Diceros bicornis minor: one gene and its partners. The protein of the gene in region 2 binds, or shares a complex with, the protein of the main gene of each other region. Links are inferred from orthologs where the notes say so. Each region holds a gene or a part of one and is shown on either strand. Other genes may lie near its edges. The genes, in order: DKK1, LRP6 and SOST.

Region 1 (7,948 bases), on a different chromosome or scaffold from region 2:
CTTAGGCTGCCTGAAAGAAGGGGCCTCTTGTAGGATGCTCTTACTTTAATCAGAATACAAAAGGCCTTGTCCAGGCAGTGCTTAAAATAAAGGGGGGAGGGTTATAGTCAGAAAGGACCTCTCCACCTCCCTCTCATGCCATTTTAGAAATGAAAGACCAACTCTGAGAGCTAAATGGCCTGACCAATGTCCCCTTTTTGCCAGCCAGCTGGTGGCTGTCACAGTAAAAGTCCCAGTGCACCAAGTTCCAGCCCCAGACTCCTGCCATCTTGGCAGATACCTTTCTTGGCCACGACCTTTGGAGAGTGCCTGCATTATAAAGGAGGTAATAATAGGAACCCAGTGACATGGAAGAAAACGATTTTTCTCTAGGTTTGGAGCCTGTTTCAAAAGGATCTTGCATCCTGCTTTCTGCTGTCGTGGGCCAGTCTTCATGGTTGGAAATGTCAAATCCTCTAGGGGGATGTTAAGGGGACCATTTTGCACTCCCTGTAACTATATACCACAGACCTGTCTGAGTGTCAGGACATCAGGAAGTCCTCTCTCGATTTTAGTCAAAAGTTTCTGGTTCTGGGCTCTATTCTCAGATTAGTTTTTGATGTCTGGCTCCTGTAAAACACATCTTCTAAGCTGGGTTAGAAAGCTGCCATGGAGCCTGATTTATCTGGGCTGGCCATCTCCACTGACCAAATAAACATAATCATTGTCAAATCTCGCCTTCTCTTTGTACTGAGTGCAGAAAAGCCTAATCCAGCCTCTCAGGAGTCCTAACAGGGGCCTGGTCTAAAAGCTCTTTTAACATCATAAAGAGCATTAAGACCAAAATCTTTTAAAGGCCAGTGAGAAACTCATAACATTTTTTACTAAACTCAGGAATGAGAAATCTCTACTATAAATTCAAGACCAGTGCCAACAAAAACGTTGGCAACACTCACCATAAGGAATGACATTTTTTCAGTGTTTTCCTAGTCAAGTAAAATTAAATGGCAACAGATCTGCTTCCTTTGATTTAGCAAAGAGAAAGAATGAAAGAAGGAGAGAAGCAAGGGAAGGAGGAAAGAAGAGAGGAAGGAAGAGGGTGAAGTAAAAATGCAGCAGTCACATAAGAATCTCAAATAACAAAGATGGAAAAATAGTTTGCAAATAGCATCGTGTTTTTTGGAGTATATTTGTCTGTCCGTCTGTCTTCCTCACGGATGAAGAGGTTGAGTATTCTATGCTGGGCATATGACACTTAAAATGAGAGGAAGGCACAAGGATCATACCATTCCTGAGTTATGAGGCTTGATTCCACATTGATAAACATGTTCACCTATTTTACAATTTAATACAAAATATTAAACTTATTGCATTAATTATGGTCATATTTAAACCAGATCAAATAGGAGGCAGGGTTCCCTACAGAACTAAATAAACTAGGTTTAATAAACTAAATACACCTGATCTGACTCCCACCACCTGTCACCTAGCTGTAGGAGAGAGTCATCAGAACCCTCTCTTCCCTGAGGCTTGTTGATCACAATTCCTGGACATTTTTCTATCTTTCTCATGACCTAGTATGTGCCAAAATATAATCTATTTTGGAACCATTTGTACCTCCATTCCCAAGTAAATATATTTGTTTCCCCAACTTCTCATAGACTGAAAGCTCTCTGAGGACAAGGAGCCTGCCTTTAATATTTTGAGGGTATACTCCCAAAGGTACCAGGGTAGCATTTTGCATATAATGGGCATTCACTGAATTTTAATTGGCTGCTGATGTAACAATGAACTTCATTTTACCTCCTTACCCACCCGGCTCTTTTGTTGCCAGTGAGCAAACTCAATCATGGAAAGGATTTTCAAATGGAGACTCCATTGAAATAGTAAATTTTCCATTTGGAACAAAGAATTAGCTTGCTGAATACACAGCTCTCTCTAAGGCCCTCCCACATAATTTCTCTTTTGTATAATTTCAAAGTTTACCTACCCTCCACCTACTCAATTATTTGAAGATAGGCAATATGAGAACTCATCTTTCATCCCACAGCGCCAAGTACCATGCTTAGCGCATAGTAGGAACCCAGATGTTGACCAATTCATTATTAGCTTTCAAAACATGACAATTTCAGGAGCAACACGGAAAGTGGGGAAGGAGGTAGAACCCAATCCACTCATGTAATCCCAGGGGTACAATTACTCTTGGCTTAGCTCCCCTAACTCAACACAACAGATTCTGTCCAAGCTCAATGAATATGAAATCATAACAGACACATGGCTTCAGGGATCAAGATTGAATTTATGCAACATATCTTTGTTAAAATTTTCCTTTTGCTGATTAAATTGTTCCACGTTTTTTTGCCCCTAGACAATGGTTTCATTTGTGAATCCAAGCTCTTAATGAATGAAATTCATTAAATGTACTAACATGTACCATCTCTTACGAAAAGAAGAAAAGAGATTGGCCTTTATTGTGGCACAAGCATATTTTTAGACATATTTAAATAGGATAATGGGACTAGGAAGAAATATTTTCACCCTTGCCAAGGACAGGGTATTCTTTCTCCACATTGCAACATCGTAAGAATTTAAGACAGACTGGAGATTTTCTACCATACTGAAGGTGCTCAGCACATTGGTTATTGACATTGTTATCAATATTCTGCAAGTGATAATATGGCATCTCAAATCCCCGATGCCTTTACCCTTTCATCCTATAATCTTCTCGGTCTATATAAACTTCAAGTCGACTGAGAGTAGGGCCATATCTGCCCAAGGGAGACCTGACTCATTGCTCATTCTCAATAAAAAGTATATCGACATTTCTTAGCCTCATTACTTAAAAGCCAATATAAACAACCTCTTCTTTGCTTCCAAATTTCAATTTGTTCCAAAAATTTCTAGAATAATAGCCAAGTCTAGATCATTGTACATGTTCATAATAAAACCTAAAGAAATATGTAAGATTTAATCCGTGTTACAGTTTCAAGCAGGAATTATCAATAAGCCGGAGGAAATTTCACAAGATAAATGGAATTTGGGATGGGATGGATACCAGTGTAATTAGAGGCATTATTAAAGAATTGTTTAGAAGATGTTCTTAATATGATCTCTGAAACCCAAAGAACCAGAATACAGACCATTACAAAATTTTTTGAAATTACTCCTCCCCCTCTTAACATTCGGATTATACCATTTCAGTACTGTCACTGGGTATACTTGGTGGTACCAGGCATGAATATAGTAGGTCAGTGTGTAGAGTAATTGTAAATACCCTGGAGGTTAGGGAGCATGAAATAAATATATCCTAGTCTTTTTTATTCAACAGTGATTATTCATCTCTTTTCTAACCTCGAATAGCAGTTGTCCATTAGTTTATAACGTCAACCTGTTTTAAAAAGAATTGTGTACACTTCTTATCTTTTATTATTACTATAATTAGAATAAAGTCTCTTAAATATATGTATCCACTGCGCCCCCCTGCCCTCCCCCCCCCCCCAAAAAGCAACAACCAGGAGGGAAGCCCAATGTCAGGACACTAGGCTTCCAATATGTTTTTGTTGAAAAAATAAATTATTTCCAATTTATAAGCAGGACAGCATTCTTATGCACTAGCCTAACATTATTTTCATACACTCATTTAAATGATGTCAAATTCACTTTCAGCTTCCCTTTTCGAGCAGCTAGTCTCTTATCTCCCTAGAGGGGATATTCCCCGGTCGGGGAATGGTCTGACTTGGGATCAAACACAGGCATTCTCAAGCTTTGCGATATGAAATACTAATGAGGAAGTCGGGCGCTAAGCCTCAAGGGTTTCTTATCTCCCTGCGTTAACCCACCACTGAGAAGGGGGCACCGGGGAAAGACGACTGACCCGGCCGCTGGACCCTGTCCGCTCTCGCTCTGGCCACTTTGATCTCGCGCGTCTGCCTAATCAAGTTCATCTACTGCCGCGACTGCTCAGAGTCAAAGAACAACATTAAATAGTTTGATTATCGGATGGTCATTTCCCTCTTCCCTCCACCCCTGATCTCATTTCCAAACGCCAGTCTCTCGCCTCCCTCTCTAAACTTCCCATCAAAAGAGAATTAGTTCTTCTTCCTTCTTACCCTCGTTTGATGTGCAAATTTCCTTCTCTTTGCACATTTTTCTCTCGGTGGCAGGGGTGGGGGGGGGTGGAGGAAGGAAGAGGGAGGAATTGAACCAACTTAAAGCCAAAGACCTCACCCCAAATCTGCAAACCAACCGTGACTCTAAAGGGTTAATCAGCAACTTGCACCGGCCACCTGGCCCTCTCGCTAAGATGCTTTGATAGAGACTTTGGATTACTGATGGGGTTGTATTTAATACTGAATATTATTTATGTGCACAATAAACCAGTACTGGCATAAGGGAGAGAGGAGAAAAGGGGTTTTGCAGAGACTGTCACAATTCCTCTGAAAAATGTTTCAGGTCCCGATAATCCGACCCTACTGCAAGGCAAGGGCACCCGAGTTCCCGAAGTTCCTCCCTTCTCCTGTGTTTATTAAAAGTCGTCTGATCTGATGGGCACTGATTACGGTCACCCCGAAGGTGAGCTGGGCCAGGGGAGCGACTGCGCAAAGGAGGGGTGGGCTGAAGAGTGTCAAAGGCTCCCCCTCATGTACACAAACACACCCCCTCCCAGCCCCTCCCAACGCTTTGAAATCCCATCCCGCCTTTGTTGTCTCCCCCCGAGGGGCTGGAATGCTCCGAGCCCGCAAGTATAAAGGCAGCCGCGGTGGCGGTGGCGGCGCAGAGCTCTGTGCACCAGGCAGTTAGAACTCTGGGACCTCTGGAGGCTGTCAGAAGCCTGACTCTGCAGCACCGCTTGGTGGGACCAGGCTTGCAAAGTGACATCCCTCCTTTCTCTTTCTCTCTCTCTCTCGAGTCCTCCTGAGATGACGGCTCTGGGCGCAGCGGGAGTTGCCCGGGTCTTGGTCACCCTGGTAGCTGCGGCTCTTTGCGGCCACCCTCTGCTCCGAGTTAGCGCCACCTTGAACTCGGTTCTCGTCAATTCCAACGCCATCAAGAACCTGCCCCCACCGCTGGGCGGCGCTGCCGGGCACCCAGGCTCTGCAGTCAGCGCAGCTCCGGGAATTCTGTACGAGGGCGGGAACAAGTACCAGACTATTGACAACTACCAGGTGAGAAGGGTCTCAGGGATCTGGGGAAGCTGTGACCCTAAAAGGGTCTCTTTTGGGGAGAAGGCGTAGAACGTGCTGAGTGTGTGCGGTTCAGGGCGCATTTGGAAACTGCATTTGGGAGCAGTGGGCAGCAACAGCTTTTGGACAGGTGGGCAGAAAGAAAATGTGATGAGCGTCGAGACCCAGGAGTGTGGGCACCTGGATGCCCAGATGCCTCACCCTCTCCCGGCCCCCTTCCCGCAGCCATACCCGTGCGCCGAGGACGAGGAGTGCAGCACCGACGAGTACTGCGCGAGTCCCACCCGCGGAGCCGGCGCCAGCGCGCAAATCTGCCTCGCCTGCAGGAAGCGCCGAAAACGCTGCATGCGTCACGCTATGTGCTGCCCTGGGAACTTCTGCAAAAATGGTGAGTCCGGTCGCTCCCTTTCTGACTCAAACTGTCCGGTTTCTGCGCGCCTACCGATGGGAGAAAACGCTCTCTGGGAAGCTGTGGCGCCACCTGCAAACGGGTGTTCAGAATGCGAGGTTCCCCTGAAATATCTTCATGGCGAGTGATTAATCTGGGAGGAGAGAGAAGTACGGAAGTCTTGGAGCTCTTTATCTTCCTCTGTGTCCCTCAATTATTTAACACGACGGCTTACCTCTGAGTGGACCCTTCCATAAAAAATTTGAGGAGTCTTGACACGGATTGAGAAAGAAGGTGGGGAGGAAGGGAGGTGGAATTATACAGAGAGCAAGGAAACCAGCTCTGGCGTTTAGCTGCCTTTTCCATTTGCAACAGAATGATTTATCTGTGCTGGCCATTCCTTAGGGAAGATCTTGATAGCTTCGCATCTTGGCCTCTCCATCCTTACCCCTTCCTCCACCTCCTGCTACCTTAAAATAAGTACTCCTCTTCCCCTCCCACCATAGATCCACTAAAATTCAATGTCTCAAAGAGGTAGACTCAGCCCAAGAAGTCTCCAGAAATAAACTTAAGGGTGGCGACCCTCCTTAGGATCCAGTAATACTCCAGGATGAACTAAATCTCTGTAATATAGAAATTATACAGTAAAGTAACTGGTGGGTGAGATTGTAATCTTCCAGGCAGCTGGTGTTGCTTTTGCTTAACTTAGTCTGGCGGTACCTATATAGCACCAAGGGCAGAGAAGTTATTTTTAAAAACAATTTTTTAAGTGACTGATTTTCTTACCCCAAGGGTCATATTAAAATGGGCAGAAATCTCACTGCCACTACCACAGTTGGTAGGAAAGTATTTTAAATGGCTATATATGGGATGTCGCATATGACTGAACAGTGTACACACTGATGCTTCTGTCCATCTGGGGAGTTTTGCATGAACACTAGGGAGGAAGTTTGGCTTGTGCTTAAAATGTCACTGCAATGAGGTATCAAGTTAGTGCAGGCATACCAGACTGCCACTGTTACAGCTGGAGGTAGTAACACATTACAGCTTAGAAATTAATCACTCTCTCCTGCTTCCTTAGGAATATGTATGCCTTCTGATCACAATCATTTCCATCGAGGGGAAATCGAGGAAACCATTATTGAAAGCTTTGGTAATGATCACAGCACCTTGGATGGGTATGCCAGAAGAACTACACTGTCTTCAAAAATGTATCATACCAAAGGTAGGTTGGAGGACCTTAAGACTCATTCTTCTTTGTTAGCACATCAGAAGTGTCCATCGGATTATCTTAATGAAATAATGCAGGCTTAGCAGTGACCACATACTTTTCATTTTGTCTCCTCCTTCCTAGGACAAGAAGGTTCTGTCTGTCTCCGATCATCAGACTGTGCCACAGGGTTGTGCTGTGCTAGACACTTCTGGTCCAAGATCTGTAAACCCGTCCTCAAAGAAGGTCAAGTGTGCACCAAGCACAGGAGAAAAGGCTCCCATGGGCTGGAGATATTCCAGCGTTGTTACTGCGGAGAAGGTCTGTCTTGCCGGATACAGAAAGATCACCATCAAGCCAGTAATTCTTCTAGGCTTCACACCTGTCAGAGACACTAAGCCAGCTGTCTGAACACAGTGGACTCCTTTTATATAATATAGGCTATGAAAACCTTTTGTGACTTTGTCAGCTCAGTCCTTAAGGATGTACAAATTCTGTGGTTACAGTTAAGCATTCCAATACCTTCCGAAAATCTGGAGTGTAAGAGCTTTGTTTCTTTATGGAACTCCTCGTCACTGATTGCAGTAAATTACTGTGTTGTAAAGTCTCAGTGTGGCACTTACCTGTAAATGCAACAAAACTTTTAATTATTTTTCTACAGGTGCTGCATTGTCTATTGTTCCTCTTGTTATGTAAATTTTTGTACACATTGTTATCTTGACACAAATATTCTATATTGAATTGAAATAAATAATTTCAGCTTATACTTCTTAAGTGCATAACCCTTTCCCCTTTTACTTCTAGAATCTAGAATGCAAGGAGCTTTTGGAATGACAAATGATAGGTATCTAAAATTTATCATGAAAATATTAGCTTATTTTCTGAAATGTACTATCTCAGTGCTTAGATTATATTTATCTCTAGGCTGTGATAGCCCTTGAAATAAAATTTAACATTTAATACTATGAAATGTTACAAGTTTAAATTTTAGCATTGTGATCTGAGAGGCGTGTGTGTGTGTGGTCTATAGGGACAGAAATGTGACGTGTTTAAAGATGATCAGAGAAAGATGTCTAAATATAAGACAATGTTAATCAACTCTAGAGTCATTTTAAAGAAAAACGTGTTCTCCATTGACAAACTCAAATGATCGTGGTGTATGAGATTGAATCTTACATTACTACTTTC
Region 2 (7,655 bases):
CTCCTTCCCTTCATTCCTTCTTTTCTTGTAAACAAAAATTCCATCACATTGTACATATTATTCTCTAACTTGCTTATCAATTAACAACATATCATGGTTACACTTCCAGATCAATATATATAATTCTTTTTAACAGCTGTACAGTATGCCACATAAGGGTATACCATTATTTATTTAACAATTGAAATGCATTCAGGTTCTTTTGATTAGGTCGAACCATATAAAACTGCCATTTTTATAGGCTTCCTTTTTGTTTTGTTTGTTTTCTATTACTATGTTATAATAAATATCTATGTATGCATATCTCTATAAACTTTTGTTTCTGTGGATAAATTCCAAGAAGTGGGATTCTAGTGTAAAAAGTGTGTATATTTTACTCCTAGATTGCTTTCCTAAAATGTTGGCATAACGTATGGTCCCCTCAATGACGTTTTGGGAAGTTATAGGTCACAACGGCCTCTTTTCAGTGCTTCTATTAGCAGACTTCTCTGCTGTCTACTGTATTTGCCATTATTGACACACCTTCTCTCAAGGCAACACTTTCAACCAGTTTTACACTTGCCTCTTTTGGTCTCTTTCTGTAGCTTCTCTTCTTCTATTTATTCCTAGATACTTGTATATCACATGGTTCTGCCCTGGCTCACTTTTCTAGTCACGCTAAATGCTCTATTCTCTCCTTAGGTAAGTTTATGGTTTCAACTATAATCTCTACCCTCCAGCCACCAATGAGGTGGCTCAAGGGTGAATTCACCTGAATTAGAAAAGAGTTTCCCTTCCTGAAGACGTCTGACTGTCATTGTCCACAAAACTGTGGTAATAACTATTCAATCACGATTTAATATTGTACAGTATGTCCCGTGGATTGGGTGGTATACAAGCTCCACCATCAGCGCTGAGAGCTGTGTTTTCCTTTCCTCTCCTGAGTCCAAACTTCTATATCAAAACTGTCTACTGGACATCTCCAGCTGGATATTTTACAGACACTGCCAATATAAAAGACCCATTGTTCAACTTATCAACACCCCATCTTGAAATACTCCTTATGCATTTCTTTTCTTAGAAAATGAGACTCTCATTCACTGCCGCGCATAACTTGGAAACCTGGAAATTCATCCTAGACTATTCTCTCTCTCAATTCACTGATAGGTTACCAAGTCCTGCTGTTTTCATCTCATAGTCCTGAAATCCATCATCTCTTTTCAACGCCCAGTGCTGCTGTCCTGACCCTCGCTTTCATACTAAAAATAACTTCCTCACTGGTCTTCCTACTTTTTGCCTTCCTCCCTTCTATTATCTACACTGTTACCAGAGAAATTATTTAACATGCAAATCAATTCTCCACCGTAAGAAAAATCCTTCAGTGTCTACATCATCAACAGGCTAAAATCTAAACTTCTTAGCATGAATTAAAAAGCTCTTTATTATCCAATACCTACTTACGGTCTTGCCTCATTTCCTGACACTGTCTAAAAGCACCCTATGCTTCAGCTACATGGATCTCCTTTCAAATCCCCAACATGCCAAGCTCTCTAATAATTCAGTGCCTTTGCACCTGCTATCCTTCTGCTTGGAATTCCTTGTCAGTCTTCTTGGCCTGATGAACTCCGATTTATATTTCAAGACTCAGCTCCAAGTTTATTTTCTCTTCTTTAAATTGTTCAGGCAGACTTAAGTGCTTCTGCACTTGAGTTTGTTGTTGATATGGTACAAACTTGCACTATAGCAATTTTAACATTTTAATTATTTGTTGTAATAATTAGCGTTTCCAAAACAGGTTGTAAGTTTCTTGAGGGTAGGGACTATGATTAATCTCATCTCTGCATCCCCAGCACTTAACATAGTGACAGGCACTGAGTATTTTTAATAGGCTCTTGAATGAATACGAAAACAAATTAGGTAGTAAGAACAGCATCTTCGCTAGGGCTTAAGCTTAAGCTATAGATTTTCACTTAAGTACCTTAAAAATTGTAAAAAATACACTAAAGGAAATTTAAGAACAGAAAAATAAAGTAAATCTCATATTATTTCACCATCTTAATCCCTGTTTTAGCACATTTACTTTTGGTCTTTGCTCAAATATGTGATTATATATGTGTTTATGTTACACATGTATATGCATTCATATTTTACATAGCTGAAGTTAAAATGTACATGCACGTTCATCTTTTTAAGCTTAACTAATTGTAAACATTTTCCAACATTGTTGGAATATAATACTTCATTACCCTACTTAGGTTGACAGCCTAAAGAGACTTAAGTTGTAAACGAGTTTTCTACGATAAATAGGAACAGATCCAGGTTTCGTGGGACTTGAAATTTACATAATTTTGAGGAATGTTTTCAGAAAAAGCACACAAAATTATCTTACTTTTGCAAATAGGACCATGTGAACACATTGTTGGGGCTCCTCCCTGGGCTTTGGAAGAGAACTGTGAAAGTGAGGGGTCCTGAGGGTTAATTTTCATTAGCTTCACAGTTCTCTACCTCCAATTATAAATAATCCTGGAATAAACATCTCGAGCATGGAATTGTCCTCTCTCTTCCATTATTTCCCAAGGATTCCAAGTTACTATGATACCATTCCCCTTGAAGGAGCTGAGAAAGGGAATGATCATTTATCGAGCACCTATTATATATTGAGCAGTTTATAGATATTTAATTTAATATCTACCACAAGCCTGAAGGAGGTATTATCCCCATTATATAGAGGAGAAAACTGAGGTGCAGTGTATGTAAATATGTCTGAATGACACATCTAGTAACTGGGAGGGTCTGGATACTAACCCTCATTCCAAAGCTCATGCCTTCCCTGCCGCATCATGGTGTCTCCGCAGCCTCACTAGCTTCACCATAATACATTCCCTAGGCTACTGTTGAAAAACCTGGCTCTCAGTTATTGGTTCTGAGGAGACTAGAATACAAAACTTGCAGAGTCCTGACGCGACTCTTGGAAGAAGATAATTTAAATCAGTGGCGGTTAGCCTTTCGCTGGTGAATTTAGGGGAAAGTGATTTGGCTGTCTGATGACACACAGGCATCCCCTTGGTTCAGGGTGCCTTTGTTGGAAGGAGCAGAGTGTCCGTAATGGGAAGACCTGGGTTGGGTTCGAGTCCTGCTATTCACTCCTTGAGTGGCCTTGGGTAAGTCACTGAACGCCTCAGGTTCTCATTTTCCTTCTCTGTGCAGTGAGAATGATAAATAACAAAATCCGCCTTACTCCAGGGGAGTTTTGAGTTCAAATCTTATAACGTGTGTGCAAGCACTTGGTGAACTCCAATGTCTCTGAGATTTTGGTAACATTGCGGGAGTAGCTCCACCTCCTCGCCCATCTGCCCCCAGGTAAGGGCGTGTGACAGCTGGGCAGAATGCACCTGATGGCTCCATTACGGTCAACTGGCGGTGGAGTGCCCTCCTAGACTGAAGCTGCCACGTGATTGCAGGGGCCGTCTGGGCCGTTACTCCTGAACGCCCTGTGCACGGAGAATAGCAGAGGCTGTGCAAAATCAGAGTCTGACATTCTGGGGAATCCTTTCCTTCTCAAGCTGGGAACTGATCATCAAAACATGCCAAACAGTCATCATTCAAAGCAACTTGTAAAATCCCAAATACAGTCCTGATCAATTGTCCCTTTGCTCTGTCTTAGGTGTTGACGCATTTATTTTGGAATTTTATCCACCGGTTTAGAAATCGTTAGTTCTTGTCGGACTTAATTCTGGGGGCACTCTGCAGTTCTGGGAAGCCAGGAGAAAATACAAATCTCAGTTTGAGTTGGCGTTTGAACACCGTTCACTAGATCCACGTTTAAAGCTGGTGCAAGCAGCATTAGTTTTTATTTTCCTTGCAAAAAGAAAAAAGATGCTTACACCAATTTCCAACCCTGAAGATCGAGCTCTTCACCCCGTGTCGGGATCCGCGGGGCTCCGGGAGCGTGGACCTGCAGCTCCGCGGCCCCGGGCCCGCCACCCCTTCCTCCGGCCCAGGTGGCAGCCGGCGTGGACCAAGAGCTGCACCTGGCTCTGCAGGCGCCGGCCGCACAAAGAACAGAACAGGCGGCGGCCCGGCCGAGCCGCAGAAAGAAGTCCCGACCACGCCGTCTCCAGTGTTGCTCGACGTCGCTTCACGCCCTCCGCGGGGAGGGCCGAAGCGGCCGGCTCGGGAAAGAATCCCATTGGAATGCGCCGCCTGGCAGTCTTGCGCCTCCAGCTCGCTTCTGCTCGCCCGGCAGATCTCCCGGGGTCGCCAAGCAGAGGCCGTGCGCGCGGCCCCCACTTCTTTTCATAACCGCACGGGAGGCGGCGCCGAGGGAGGGGGCTCGTCCGCGCGCAGGGAGACTTTGGCGGCGGCGGCGGCCGGCCGTATCCCTGCGCCGCTGCGTGAGAGGAAGAGGCTGAATGAGGAGCTGCGCGGGGGAAGCGGGGCGCCAGGGGAGGAGGCGGCGGGATGGGAGCAGACGCTGGCGTCGCGCGAGCCCCGGGCAGAGCGGCGCGCTAGAGAGGGCGGCGGCGGCGGCGGCGCGCGCGGAGCCTTGACGTGCCCCTTTCTTTCTTCTCTCTCTGGAAAGCTGGGAAGCATGAGCATGCAGACCTGCCGCTGCGGCGGCCGCCCCGGCTCCTTGCCTCCCCCTGGTCTGGCCGCCCCTCGCCGGTGAGAGGAGAGAACGCGAGAAGGGAAGATGGGGGCCGTCCTGAGGAGCCTCCTGGCCTGCAGTTTCTGTGTGCTCCTGAGAGGTGGGAAGAACGGGGAGGGGGACGGGAAAGTTGGTGGGATTTGGGGGGGAGGTGGCCTGGTGTGTGTCTGGGGGGAGGGGAGGGACGGAGGAAGGAGAAGGGGAAGAGGAGAGAGGAGAGGCCTGGTGGTGGGGAAGGAGCGAGAAGGGGGCCCGGGAGAAGGGGCTGTGCGCCCCGCCGGGCCACCATGCAGACCCCCGCCTAGGTTTCCCGACCTTATCTGGACAGATCGGAGCCTCGATCCGGGCTGCCTGGCTTGGTGACCCCCTGGAGCCCCTTTCTCTCGGAATGACTGAGGGTCTGCGTGTCCCCTTCTGCCTGGAGTCCGCAAGGAGAAGGGTCTTTGTATGTATTTTGGCTTTTAACATGTTCGAGCCCAAGATGCTTTAACGTTGGCCTTCCCTCTCGAAGCCCCCACCTTTCCCGTGTCTCTTATGTGAACTTTGAGAGCCCTCTTCCTATTTTTCCAGGCCGTGTAACAACTAATAATTGGCTTCCGTGGGGGATATAATGATCCTGGGTGAGGGCACAGTTGGAAAGTGACTCCGAGGTTATATAGGTCGAGCGTTTCAGCCTTGGGACTCTTGGGAGCCTCAGCCCATAATAAAATAGAAACGTTGCCCTTGTTACCCCTGATGTGCAGGACCTGCCCCTATTTTCGGAGCGTGCAAGTGTACAGTTGGCACTAAGTAGGAAAGTTATCCATGTGTGAAGAGGAGCCTGTCCTGGGACCTAAGTTATCATTTGCTGCGCTCCCCTGGGGACTGCTTGGCACTTTGGTAAATAACACAGGCTATTCTGGATAATTTGCTCCGAGAATCGCATAAATTCGATGGTCTGGTGGTTTTTGGAATTGGCCTGCAAAGCTGTCACATACGTTCTGACTTTTATTTTGTGACAGTTCACCAAGGTTTTTGACTGGTCTGCAAGATTTCGGCAGCTCTCAAACTTATCAGTGTTGAAGTGGTGATGAGTCTGATGCTGTTGAGCGTTTACCAGCAGAGGAATTTAAGTACTGATGGATGCAGTGGCTTGTAGCTTTGGTTTTGTTACAGTTCTCACTTGTCCTCATGGTCAGTTCTTTTCAGGTATGGGACCCCTTGAGTCTATGAAGATTTTAGCTATTAATTTAACAAGCTAAACGTTTGTTAAGCCTCCAAAACTTACTGAAGTTTGCAGAACACGATAGTAACCAATGATCCTGTGCAATAAATGACACATGCCGTTTCTGTGTGTATATATTTATTTTGGATGGGAGAGATTGACTTTTTTTTTTTTTGGAGGAACTTTTTTCTGTACTCTTCTGCGGAATTATTACGTTTGCATGTTATATCTACTTAATAATTAGGACTCACGGTAAGCCTATTATGAACTATTTACATATGTAAATCCCAGAAATATAGTGATCATTTAATTGTCTTGACAGAGAATTTAATGCAGTGTTATGAACTTAGAGGTTTAATAAGTATATGTTTATTATAGTATACTCCCTGTTGAGAGGGAATTTTGCTATAGCTGTGAGAAACAATTATATTTGACATAAGAATAAGTATATATTTTAAGACAGAAGGTTAGTAGAGTTAAGAAATATGAGAGTCAGCTGATTGGTTAGAATCTTGGAGAACTCTAAACCCATAACCCGGGATGTTTCTGGTTACCCAGTTGTATTTCTTGGAGAGGAAGGGAGTGATGTAAATGCTATTTATTTATTTTAACACCAAGTCTGAGCCTAGAGTCGGGTTTTTTTCATTGCTGGAGTTGAGAGAAGTTGCACTTGAAGTAACGTGTTGAAGTGTGGTTTTATGTAACAAGACCTAAAAGAGCTAATAGTTTAAATTGCCTCATTTACACTAGCAAACAAAGTTTCCAAAAGTGGAGCTCTCATTTTAAATGTAGCGTAATAATGGTATCAGGTGGTCTTTGAATTTAGCAGTACTTAACTGTGTGTACATGTTATTTGAACTTCAACTATCTTGATGTGAAAGCTTTTTATTCATAATTTAGATTCTTTTCACTCCTTGATAATGTCACCATCCTCTGTTATAATAATTATATTAGTTAACTTTGGATTCCAAGGAGAAATAGGTGATTAATTTGTTGCATTAAGATTTTTCCTCACTGGGCCGGCCCCGTGGCTTAGCGGTTAAGTGCACGCACTCCGCTGCTGGTGGCCTGGGTTGGGATCCCGGGCGAGCACCGACGCACCGCTTGTCAGGCCATGCTGTGGCGGTGTCCCACATAAAGTGGAGGAAGATGGGCACGGATGTTAGCCCAGGGCCAGTCTTCCTCAGCAAAAAGAGGAGGATTGGCAGATGTTAGCTCAGGGCTGATCTTCCTCACAAAAAAAAAAAAAAAAGATTTTTCCTCACAGAAGAGTTGGAGCTTTAACATTGGGAAGATGGGGTGATGAGAATTTGGGAGACGTTTTGTCCTATACCCCTGTTAAATCAATAGCTGAAAGCCGGGGAATAATGCTGTCATCATCTGGGCTGCCTCCCTGTCCCTGTCATCGGAGGACAAGTTGCATTGGAAAGATTTGGGGATTTCAAAACTAAAATCTTGGGTATAAAGTCCAAGCTTCATTACTCAATAATTTTGTGTTTCTGGTCTTGTCAGTTAATTTCTCTGGGCCTCAATTTGTTTTCCTGTAAAATGTGGGTAATACCTATCTGACTAATTTGCCGGTTTATTTGGCATATTAAATGAAGTAATGAATGTAAAGTGCTTTGCAGATGTTATTTTCTGTTATAATTTTTGACTGTGGGCATATTCTCAAATGCTGGGAATTTGAAACTAATTTGTATAAGATTCACAAATTCTTAAGGTAGAAGAGATCTTGATCATTCTGGTCTAACCGCTTCATTTGCAAGTAGGGAAACTCAGGTTTAGAGATTATTACTTGATCAAGATCCTACAGCTAATTAATGG
Region 3 (8,319 bases), on a different chromosome or scaffold from region 2:
GTTTGAAAGCCCATGAACTAGATGACCTTCCACTTTAATGTCCCCAGAGGACAGAGGCCTTGAGCGGCCACCCTGAGAGGAAGGAGGGCAGAGAGAAGAGGGAGGGAGGTGTTGAAATGGAGAAAGAAGAGTGGGGGGCAGGTGCAGCCGGGTTCTGGAGGGAGAAGACAGTCTCCAGACACACACGGTGACAAAGAGCCTCTCTTGGGCCAAACCTTTGTTAGGCTCCTCTGAGCTTTTTTCAACTGGGCCTCGACTTTTGGGTTTCCTTGTTCCTCTCTGTATTATTCAATTTTAGTAAGAATCCTCCACCCTCCATATCTGATCACCCTCAATGTCTATTTGGGTTCCTCATCCCCCATGACCCCCCAGGTGAAGTCTGACCACCCTGGCCTGCCTTCACCAAGAATCCTCTTAGGTTGGGGTAGCCAAAATCACCCTTACCCCTAATACTTCCTCTTAGTAATTTTTCATTCACTGCCCCCCTCCCTGCTCCTTGGCTATAGACCCCACTTTACCTCGTATTCGGCGTGGAGCCCAATCTCTCTCCCCCACTGCAAGAGCCCATTGCAGTGGCCCTATACCTCTCACCACAGTACTCCCTTGAATAAAGTTTTCTTTACCATTTTTAACAAGCATCATAAATACCTTGTTCTTTAACAAGAGTTTGCAGACAGGGGCTCTGCAGGCAGAGGGTGGTAGTTTGAATTGAATGGCAGTTGGGGAGGTGCTGGGGATGAGTCAGGGCCCCACCTTGAAGGGCATGGTCTGCCAGGCAGAAGGAAGTGGAAGGTTATCCTGTTAGGGCCGGGGGAGCCATTCGCCTATTCTAGGCAGGAGGGTGAGTGACAAAGCTCGTTGGAGCTCCTCTCCCCCTTGTCCCTCGGAAGCTGCTGAATGAACAAGGAGGGCGTTTCCCCTGTGCTGAGACCCCGAACTCTACAGAGAACAAGTTCTCAGCTTGAATAGAGACAGGGTGACGTGGACCTCCCTCAATGCAGGAAATGACCTGCAGAAATTGCTCTCCAAAGTCAGAGACTCCATTTTTTGTTGTTGTTTTTCTGCTTGAGGAAGATCTGCCCTAGCTAACATCTGTGCCAATCTTCCTCTATTTTGTATGTGGGTTGCTGCCACAGCATGGCCGTCAATGAGTGGTGTAGGTCCGTGCTCAGGATCTGAACCCCAGCCGCCGAAACAGAGCGCACTGAACTTAACCAGTAGGCCATGGGGCCGGCCCCCAGAGACTCCATTTTTACCACTGACCTGTGGAAGCAAAATCTGTTTAAAAATGGAGCCAATAAGGAGAATCCTCAGTTTCCATGAATTAGAGTCAGGGAGCTTGAGAACCAAGTAGACAGTGAAACTAGGTGACATTTGAGGTTCCTTTCAGATCAAAGATTCTGTGATCCTAAGAGGTCCAAGGAGCATAACTTACTTGCCAAATTTGGCCTGTCCTTCAAAGTCTGGTCCAAATGCTACGTCTTCCCGTGAGGATGCCAAGTCCACCTCAGCAAGGAAGAAATTATTCTCTCCTCCTAAGGCCCAGAACACTTTGTCCTTTTAAAAAAACACATCTGAACCATTTCTTAGTGGTACCAATCACTTTCTACGTGCTATTGGAGTTATTTGGGTGGAGAACTTATTACTTCTCTGGTACAGGAGCTCCTGGAAGCCTGGTGGGAGGCCTTGCTTCATTAAATGTTTGGCAAGTGGATAGGCAGCTTGGTAGAAGCCAGTAAATAATCACACAGAAAAACAACTTCACTAGGAGTTAAGGTACAACTATTAAATTACTAAATTCAATTTAAAAAATGTTAACAGCTCAAACCCGGTGTGTTGGCAGCTTTGTGGAGAAACATGCTGTTATGGATGGAATTGTGTCCCTCCACAAGTCATATGTTGAATCCTAAGCCCTGGTACCTCAGAATGGGACCTTATTTGGAAGTAGGGTCCTTGTAGATGTAATTAGTTAAGATGAGGTCATTAGGGTGGGCCCTAATCCACTGTGACCGACATCCTTATAAAAAGGGGGAATGAGGACACAGACGCACACCGGGAGAACTCATGTGAACATGAAGACAGAGATCGAGGTGAAGCTTCTACAAGCTCAGGAATGCCAAGGATGCCAGCAAACCATCAGAGGCTAGGGGAGACGCACAAAACAGACTCTTCCTCACAGCCCTCAGAAGGAACCAACCCTGCCAACACTCTGATCTCAGACTTCCAGCCTCCCGAACTGTGAGACAATACATTTCTGTTGTTTAAGCCCCAAGTTTGTGGTATCTGTTTCAGCAGCCCTCACAAGCTAATGCACGTGCCCACTTGTATGTCGCTGGTGGGACTGAGGAAATGACTGGGTTTTCTGGAGAACAACCCTGCAATATGTAGCAAAATCATTCACCCTCTCAGACCCAGCATTTGCTTCCGGAAATAACCCTAAAGTTAAAAAAAAATTACTTGGTAGAATACTACTCAGCAATAAAAAGCAACAAATTGTTGATACATGCAAAACTTGGATGAATCTCCAGAGAATTATGAGTGAGGAAAGCCAATTCTCAAAGCTTACGTACTGGTTGATTCCATTTATATAACATTTTCAAAATGACAAAATTATAGAAATGGAAAACAGGTTAGTGGTACCATGGGTTAGGGGTGAAGAGGGAGGGCTTGGGGAGGGTGGGTGTGGGTATAAAAGGACCACGAGAGGGATCTTTTTGATCACAAGTTGTTCTTCATCTTGGCCGTGATGGTGGACACTTGACCCCACACATGTGATAAAGTTGTATAGAACTAAACACACACACACACGAGTACAGCTAAAATGGTACTCTCAATTTGATTGGGGGATTGTATCCATGTCCAGATCCTGGCTGTGATATTGTCCTATAGTTTTGCAAGATGTTACTTGAGAGAAACTGGGTAAAGGGTATACGGAATTTTCTCTGTATTATTTCTTACAAGTGTATGCAAATTTACAAAGATCCCAAAACAAAAAGTTTAATTCAAAAAATTACTTTGTACAAGGATGTTCATAGCATCCCTACTGAGGATAAGGGAGCATTGGAAATGCTAAAACCTAAACTACCTACAACAGAAGTCTGCTAAAACCCTGGGGGTTTAACCCTGGGGAATAGTGTCTAGCTCTGAACAACGACAAGCTTGTGGACTGAGTAAATAGAAAGCTGAATTAGCGTTAAGTGAAAAAGCAGATGGTATCATAGCATGTTCTCTCTGAGCCCTTCTGTAAAAAGCATGGCTATACATTGGCAGAGAATAATTAAAAAAGAAGGAGATAATTTAGAGGTTCAAGTCCATTGGATTCTTCTCTTTTTTCTCTTAACATTACTTCAGTTTCAAATAAAGTAATGATACGAAATAAAGCAATACTGAGCCTCTCCATCCTTCGGTCGCTGGCTCCTCCTTCCTTCTCCAGCAGGTGGCAGAAATGTTCCAAAGATGGCCCTCACAGTCGCGGGGTTCATGTGGATGGGCTGGCTCCCAACAGCAGGTGGGGCTCCAGCATCAATCGCGCCAGCTCAAGGAATCCAGGCGTCAGAACTGCCCTCTCTGAAGTCCAGGCCCAGAAGGCAGTTGTGCAGCCACGACGGGGTTAACGGTCCACATTCCAGAGCAAGGAGAAAGGAGGCTGGAGGGTCACAGACAAGGGGAGGGGGCACAGAGGGCCAGCTTCTCACAATACACCGGCTCTGTTGGGAGAGATAGATCACCCCCAACAATGGCCACAGCTGTTTTCGTCTGCCCTGAAGGAAACTGACATAGGAAGCAGGTATCAGAGAGGGCCCTTCCTGCAGAGGCTTCTGTCTGGCTTGTAAAACTGTCAGAGCAGCTGCATTCATGTGTCGAGTGATGGATGATGGAAAGAAGGAGGGACAGACGGCCGCAGATGGACACAGCGACCTACAAGTCGAGGCAGGTGGCAAAAGCCTGGCAGAGGCTCTGCAGGTGGGGCGTACTGATTCATGGCCCAGTGGAAATACCAAGGAGACCTAGGCCACAGCCCTCTTCCCAGCCTCCCTTCAGGGCCAGGAGTGGGCGCGGCTCCTCAAACAATCCGTTTTGGATGAAAGCTTCCGCTGGCCCTCCTTTCTTTTCCTGCACCTCAGGTGTGAACCTTCCTGCCCCGTGCCTCTCCCTCTTCAAGGCCCCTCATTCTGCTCCAGGGCTGAGGTAGCAATTCCTTCTCGTTTCTTTGTGGCTAGCTGGACCTGCGATGGCTTCATGGAATGCAGCCCGTGACTTGCACCAATAAGCTTTTCCATCTAGCACTCAAAGCTGCTTTTGAAAACTGTGGTGGGCTGGGAGACAAGAAAAAAAAAAAATCTCAGCACTAAAAATGTTGGCCCTGGCTTTTGCTAAGAAAAGGGATTTTGTGCTCCCCACTCCTACCCACAGCCCGGCTGGGGAAATAACTGCCTTTGGCACATCAGCCTGCAAGCCCTAGGGTGTCCTGGCCATAAAGTGCCTGTCACCGTGTGCAGGATCCCCGAGGAGCATGAGCTGAGGTTTCCTCGAGCTCATCGCCAGAGCCTGCTGACTTGCTCATCCCGGCCTTGTCACCAGAGTCCCTGCCCCTCACCCAAGCAGGCATGTTCAGTGTGACCCCCCCCCCCCCCCCCCCCCAGTTTTCTCTCTTGCCTTCCAGAGGATGTCAAGAAGGGCTTTCTTGGTCAGGATAATGCTGAGCCTCATGGAGTTGGGACCAATGAGATTTCTTTTCTTTTCTTCTTTTTTTATTTTTTTGTGAGGAAGATCAGCCCTGAGCTAACATCCATGCCAATCCTCCTCTTTTTGCTGAGGAAGACCGGCCCTGAGCTAACCCGATGAGATTTCTTAAAAAGCATCCTTTTGCCTCTGTCTGGGTCTGTGGGGGCCAAATATACACCCCTAGGGCCATTTATTGGTGCGATGACAAATGCATTTGGCCTGAGAAATGGGATTGGCTGGGCTCAGCCCTGTGGAGGACCCAGAGCTGCAGTTTTCTGTGTTCAGCTGGTCCACAGTTTGTTTTGAGAAAGCCCGAGGGACCCAGGGAGGTAGAGATGAAGAGCCGGAACTCATTTGATATCCGAAAACCACAGCCGCCTGCACGTGGGAGGTGTTGGAGGGCAGGCTTGCCCCACACGCCCTGCTCTCCCTGGGTCACCTGGGAGCACCAGCAGCAATTTGGGAGTTTTCTGGGCTTGAGAAGAAGTCTTTGGAGAGGGCTTGCTCGGAGCACAGCCTGTTCCCTCCCCCTGGGCTGAGGGAAGCATGGGACCAGCCCTGCCCCAGCCTGTCCTCATTGGCTGGCATGAGGCAGAGGGGGCTTTAAAAAGGCAACCGTGTCCGGGCTGGGGACCAGAGCCTGTGCTCCTGGAAGGCTGGGTGCTCTCCTACGGTTGGCACCATGCAGCTCTCTTTCGCCCTGTGTCTCGTCTGCCTGCTGGTCCACGCAGCCTTCCACGTGGTGGAGGGCCAGGGGTGGCAGGCCTTCAAGAACGATGCCACGGAAATCATCCCTGAGCTGGGCGAGTACCCCGAGCCTCCCCCAGAGCCAGAGAACAACAAGACCATGAACCGGGCGGAGAACGGAGGGAGGCCTCCCCACCACCCCTTTGAGACCAAAGGTACGGGGGAGGAGAGACTCTGTAGCACATGGGTCCTGGTGGGTTCTCTGTGGGAGGTTTTGAAGACTGGGGTAGACTGTCAGCCACTGCCAGCACCGGTGGAGGGACAGTCTTGCCTGGAGGCAGGGGAAGGATGGCATGCCAGTGTAGCCTTGGAACTGGAGTGCAGGGGCGTGAGGCTGGCAGGAGGCTGGCAGTGAGAGCCCGGGGCAGCAAGGAGGCTCAGGTGGTGAGGGTACAGCACTGGGACAGGCTCAGGGGCTCTGAAAAAAGGTTTCAAAGAATCCCCTCCTGAGAATAGAGGAGTACAGGTCCAGCTGCTGGCACCACTGGGGAGGGGACAAGGCAAGGGAGCCTGTCATCTGAGCACCTGCTGGAAGCCAGACACTACGCCGCCGTGCCTGTCCTGTCCCCAGAGACCCACAGTGTGGGAGCCCCATGAGGGGAACTCCCAGTTTGAGGTGAAGAAACCGAGGCTCCAGAGACTAACTTGGTAGTGAGTAGAAGAGCTGAGATTTGAACCCAATTTGAGCCAATTCCAAGACAACTCTGGTGGGGGGATTGTGTGGGGGTGTTGGGGACCAAGAGCCAGAGCAAATCCTCGCAGAGAAGTGGGAAAGGGACGCCAGAAAGGCTCCCCGTTGGCCCCCCTGCCCACGGTCTGCCCAGTGAGCCGGCACTTGAAGGAACGGGGGTTGTAGGCACAGTTTTAGCCTCTGACCTAGGTGGCAGCTGGGTCCAGGGCCTGGAGAAGAGGCAGCATCCTCTGTGCAGGGAGTGGACACAGGTGGCATTGTCTGTCCTGAGTCCCCAACCCAGACCCAGCCTTGCCTCATTCCTGGGGAGGGAGCCTGGCCCTAGTGAAAAGGCAGTGGCCCCGGTGGAGGGCACAGCTGGGTTCCTGCTCAGGTCTGCACACAGGAGCCTGGGAGGCAGTGTGCACAGCTGGCTCTGCAGCTGGCAGGAATGGCTGGGGGCAGGGACTGGAATGACACTTCAGAGTGAGGGCCTCACTGCCCTCTGGCCATTGTCCAGGTGGGAGAGGAGTCCACTGCCCAGGCTCCTGCATCCCATCCCTCCCCGCCTCACGACCACCTGGGAATGTGGGGCTCTGCAAAGGGCAACCCCAGAGAGGCTGGAGGACCTCAGGTCTTCAAAACGGGAGAGCAGGAGGCCCCTCCCCCGCTCTCCCCCAGGCAAGTTCACCAAGCTCCAGCAGTGGGCTGTAGGGGACTCAAGTACAAGACATCCACCTCCCTGGGCTCCCATGAGAGGCACAAGCCCCAATGAAGCCACGTGCTCAAAACAAAGTCACCCTCTGCAGAGGAAGCACCTGACCTAGGGTCACTATTCTTGGAAAGACCCAAACTGCCTCCTTCCCTGGGCAAACAGGTCACTCCCACACACCACAGCCTGGGAGCAGGGGTGAGGATGCCAAACTAGCCCAGAAACCAGAAGGCCAGCCAGGGAAGGAAGGCAAACCCCACAACTCCCCTGCTGTGCTTGTCCTCCAGCGCCTGGGGGTGGGGGCCTGGCCTTCTCTGCCCCCTCTCTGGTTTTGCTCTTAGGACTATTTTCACCCCTTCGTGTCACATGGTAACTGTCCCCATGAGACCCTTGGGGGTAGACAGGCGCTCACATGAGGACCAGCTCTTTAAAAGGCTCCCAGCAGACTAAGCCCACAGTAGGAAACATGATCAAGATGTCTTGGGGGGACCAAGCCAGGCCTCAGAGCCCAATCTCCCCGGACCCAGGGAGCAAGCCTGTCCATCAAATGGCCCAGCAGAGTGCCTGGTACACAGCAAGTGCTTAATGTTTGTGGCAGCCGAAACTGTAGGTTTTCAGTCCAAGCTTGGTCCTCCTCTGGTAGGGAAGTAACTGTAGTAAAAAGCAGCCCTTCGCCCCTCCCCCAGCCTAGCCTCCCATGGGTGATCAGGCACACAGCTTCCACCCTTGTGGGAGCTGAGAGGTTCCGGGGCGCCAGGGAAGTGGAGTCAGGAGACCCAGGTCTGCCGTTTGAGCCAGCCCTTCTCCCTCTCTGGGCCTCAGTGTCCTCAGTGATAATGAGGGGGTCTGACAGGCTGCCTTTGGTTCCTTTCAAGTCGAAAGACTTCTCTCCACCTCCCCTTCCAGCCCTCTCCTCCCAGCAGCTGCCCTGACTTATTACCTCCAATTAACCCCTACTCCTGTCTCCATCCCCTCTCCACCCCTCCCAAGTGGCTGGAAAAGAAATTTGGGAGAAGCCAGAGCCATGCAGAGGGTGTGGCTACCACCTACCCTCCATGGCTAGGGACCCTGTGGCACAGGTGTGACTTCAGTCTGGTGAAGAGGGCCCCCTTAGAGACGAATAATAACAACACATAACAATAGCCAACACTTTCAGTTCTTACCACGCGCCTAGTGGCGTCCCCTGCATTATCTATGTAATGGGTTAACTCACTGAATACTCAAGACAACCCATTTTACAGATAGGAAGCACAGAGAGGTTAAGTAACTTGCCCAAGATCACGCAGTGATGGAGTTGGTGTTTGAACCACAGCAGTCACTGGCTCCAAAGAATTAGGGGGAGAGGGTGGGTCAGGGTCAGGGTGGGGCTTTCCACCAGCCCCAGAGTCCCTGGGCCCTTCCCATAATAACTCCCAGGGGCAAGAGCGTCTGGAGAGAGGCAGGTTTGGAAAACGCGGGAGTGGCG

Evidence for each region.
Region 1: the proteins of LRP6 (region 2) and DKK1 are in contact, whole or in part, in a crystal structure (PDB 3S8V), measured with the Homo sapiens proteins. The link is inferred for Diceros bicornis minor from reciprocal best matches to the Homo sapiens genes LRP6 and DKK1. Residues at the interface, in NP_001401174.1 of Homo sapiens: Arg639, Glu663, Ser665, Ile681, Tyr706, Glu708, Thr724, Arg751, Trp767, Gly768, Gly769, Pro771, Val790, Gly791, Arg792, Asp811, Thr812, Asn813, Leu814, Pro833, His834, Phe836, Trp850, Ser851, Tyr875, Met877, Arg1184; in NP_036374.1 of Homo sapiens: Glu185, His204, Phe205, Trp206, Ile209, Gln218, Val219, Thr221, Arg224, Arg225, Ser228, Gly230, Leu231, Glu232, Ile233, Phe234, Arg236, Ser258, Leu260.
Region 3: the proteins of LRP6 (region 2) and SOST are in contact, whole or in part, in a crystal structure (PDB 6L6R), measured with the Homo sapiens proteins. The link is inferred for Diceros bicornis minor from reciprocal best matches to the Homo sapiens genes LRP6 and SOST. Residues at the interface, in NP_001401174.1 of Homo sapiens: Arg28, Asp52, Val70, Ser71, Glu73, Leu95, Ser96, Asp98, Glu115, Arg141, Trp157, Trp183, Asn185, Ala201, His226, Phe228, Trp242, Met269, Arg336, His361, Asp379, His404, Asp406, Thr422, Glu447, Arg449, Trp465, Trp491, Asn493, His534; in NP_079513.1 of Homo sapiens: Leu115, Pro116, Asn117, Ala118, Ile119, Gly120, Arg121, Arg169, Thr171, Arg172, His174, Asn175, Gln176, Ser177.

What each region holds. Positions count from the first base shown.
Region 1 is NC_080745.1:51,554,728-51,562,675, reverse strand, and holds the start of DKK1 (dickkopf-related protein 1), read left to right. Parts: upstream 1-4,774; 5' UTR 4,775-4,898; coding exon 4,899-5,144; intron 5,145-5,387; coding exon 5,388-5,550; intron 5,551-6,631; coding exon 6,632-6,775; intron 6,776-6,904; coding exon 6,905-7,158; 3' UTR 7,159-7,948. UniProt on the Homo sapiens protein: Antagonizes canonical Wnt signaling by inhibiting LRP5/6 interaction with Wnt and by forming a ternary complex with the transmembrane protein KREMEN that promotes internalization of LRP5/6.
Region 2 is NC_080756.1:48,574,226-48,581,880, forward strand, and holds the start of LRP6 (low-density lipoprotein receptor-related protein 6), read left to right. Parts: upstream 1-4,503; 5' UTR 4,504-4,672; coding exon 4,673-4,727; intron 4,728-7,655. UniProt on the Homo sapiens protein: Component of the Wnt-Fzd-LRP5-LRP6 complex that triggers beta-catenin signaling through inducing aggregation of receptor-ligand complexes into ribosome-sized signalosomes.
Region 3 is NC_080757.1:42,474,384-42,482,702, reverse strand, and holds the start of SOST (sclerostin), read left to right. Parts: upstream 1-5,271; 5' UTR 5,272-5,407; coding exon 5,408-5,627; intron 5,628-8,319. UniProt on the Homo sapiens protein: Negative regulator of bone growth that acts through inhibition of Wnt signaling and bone formation.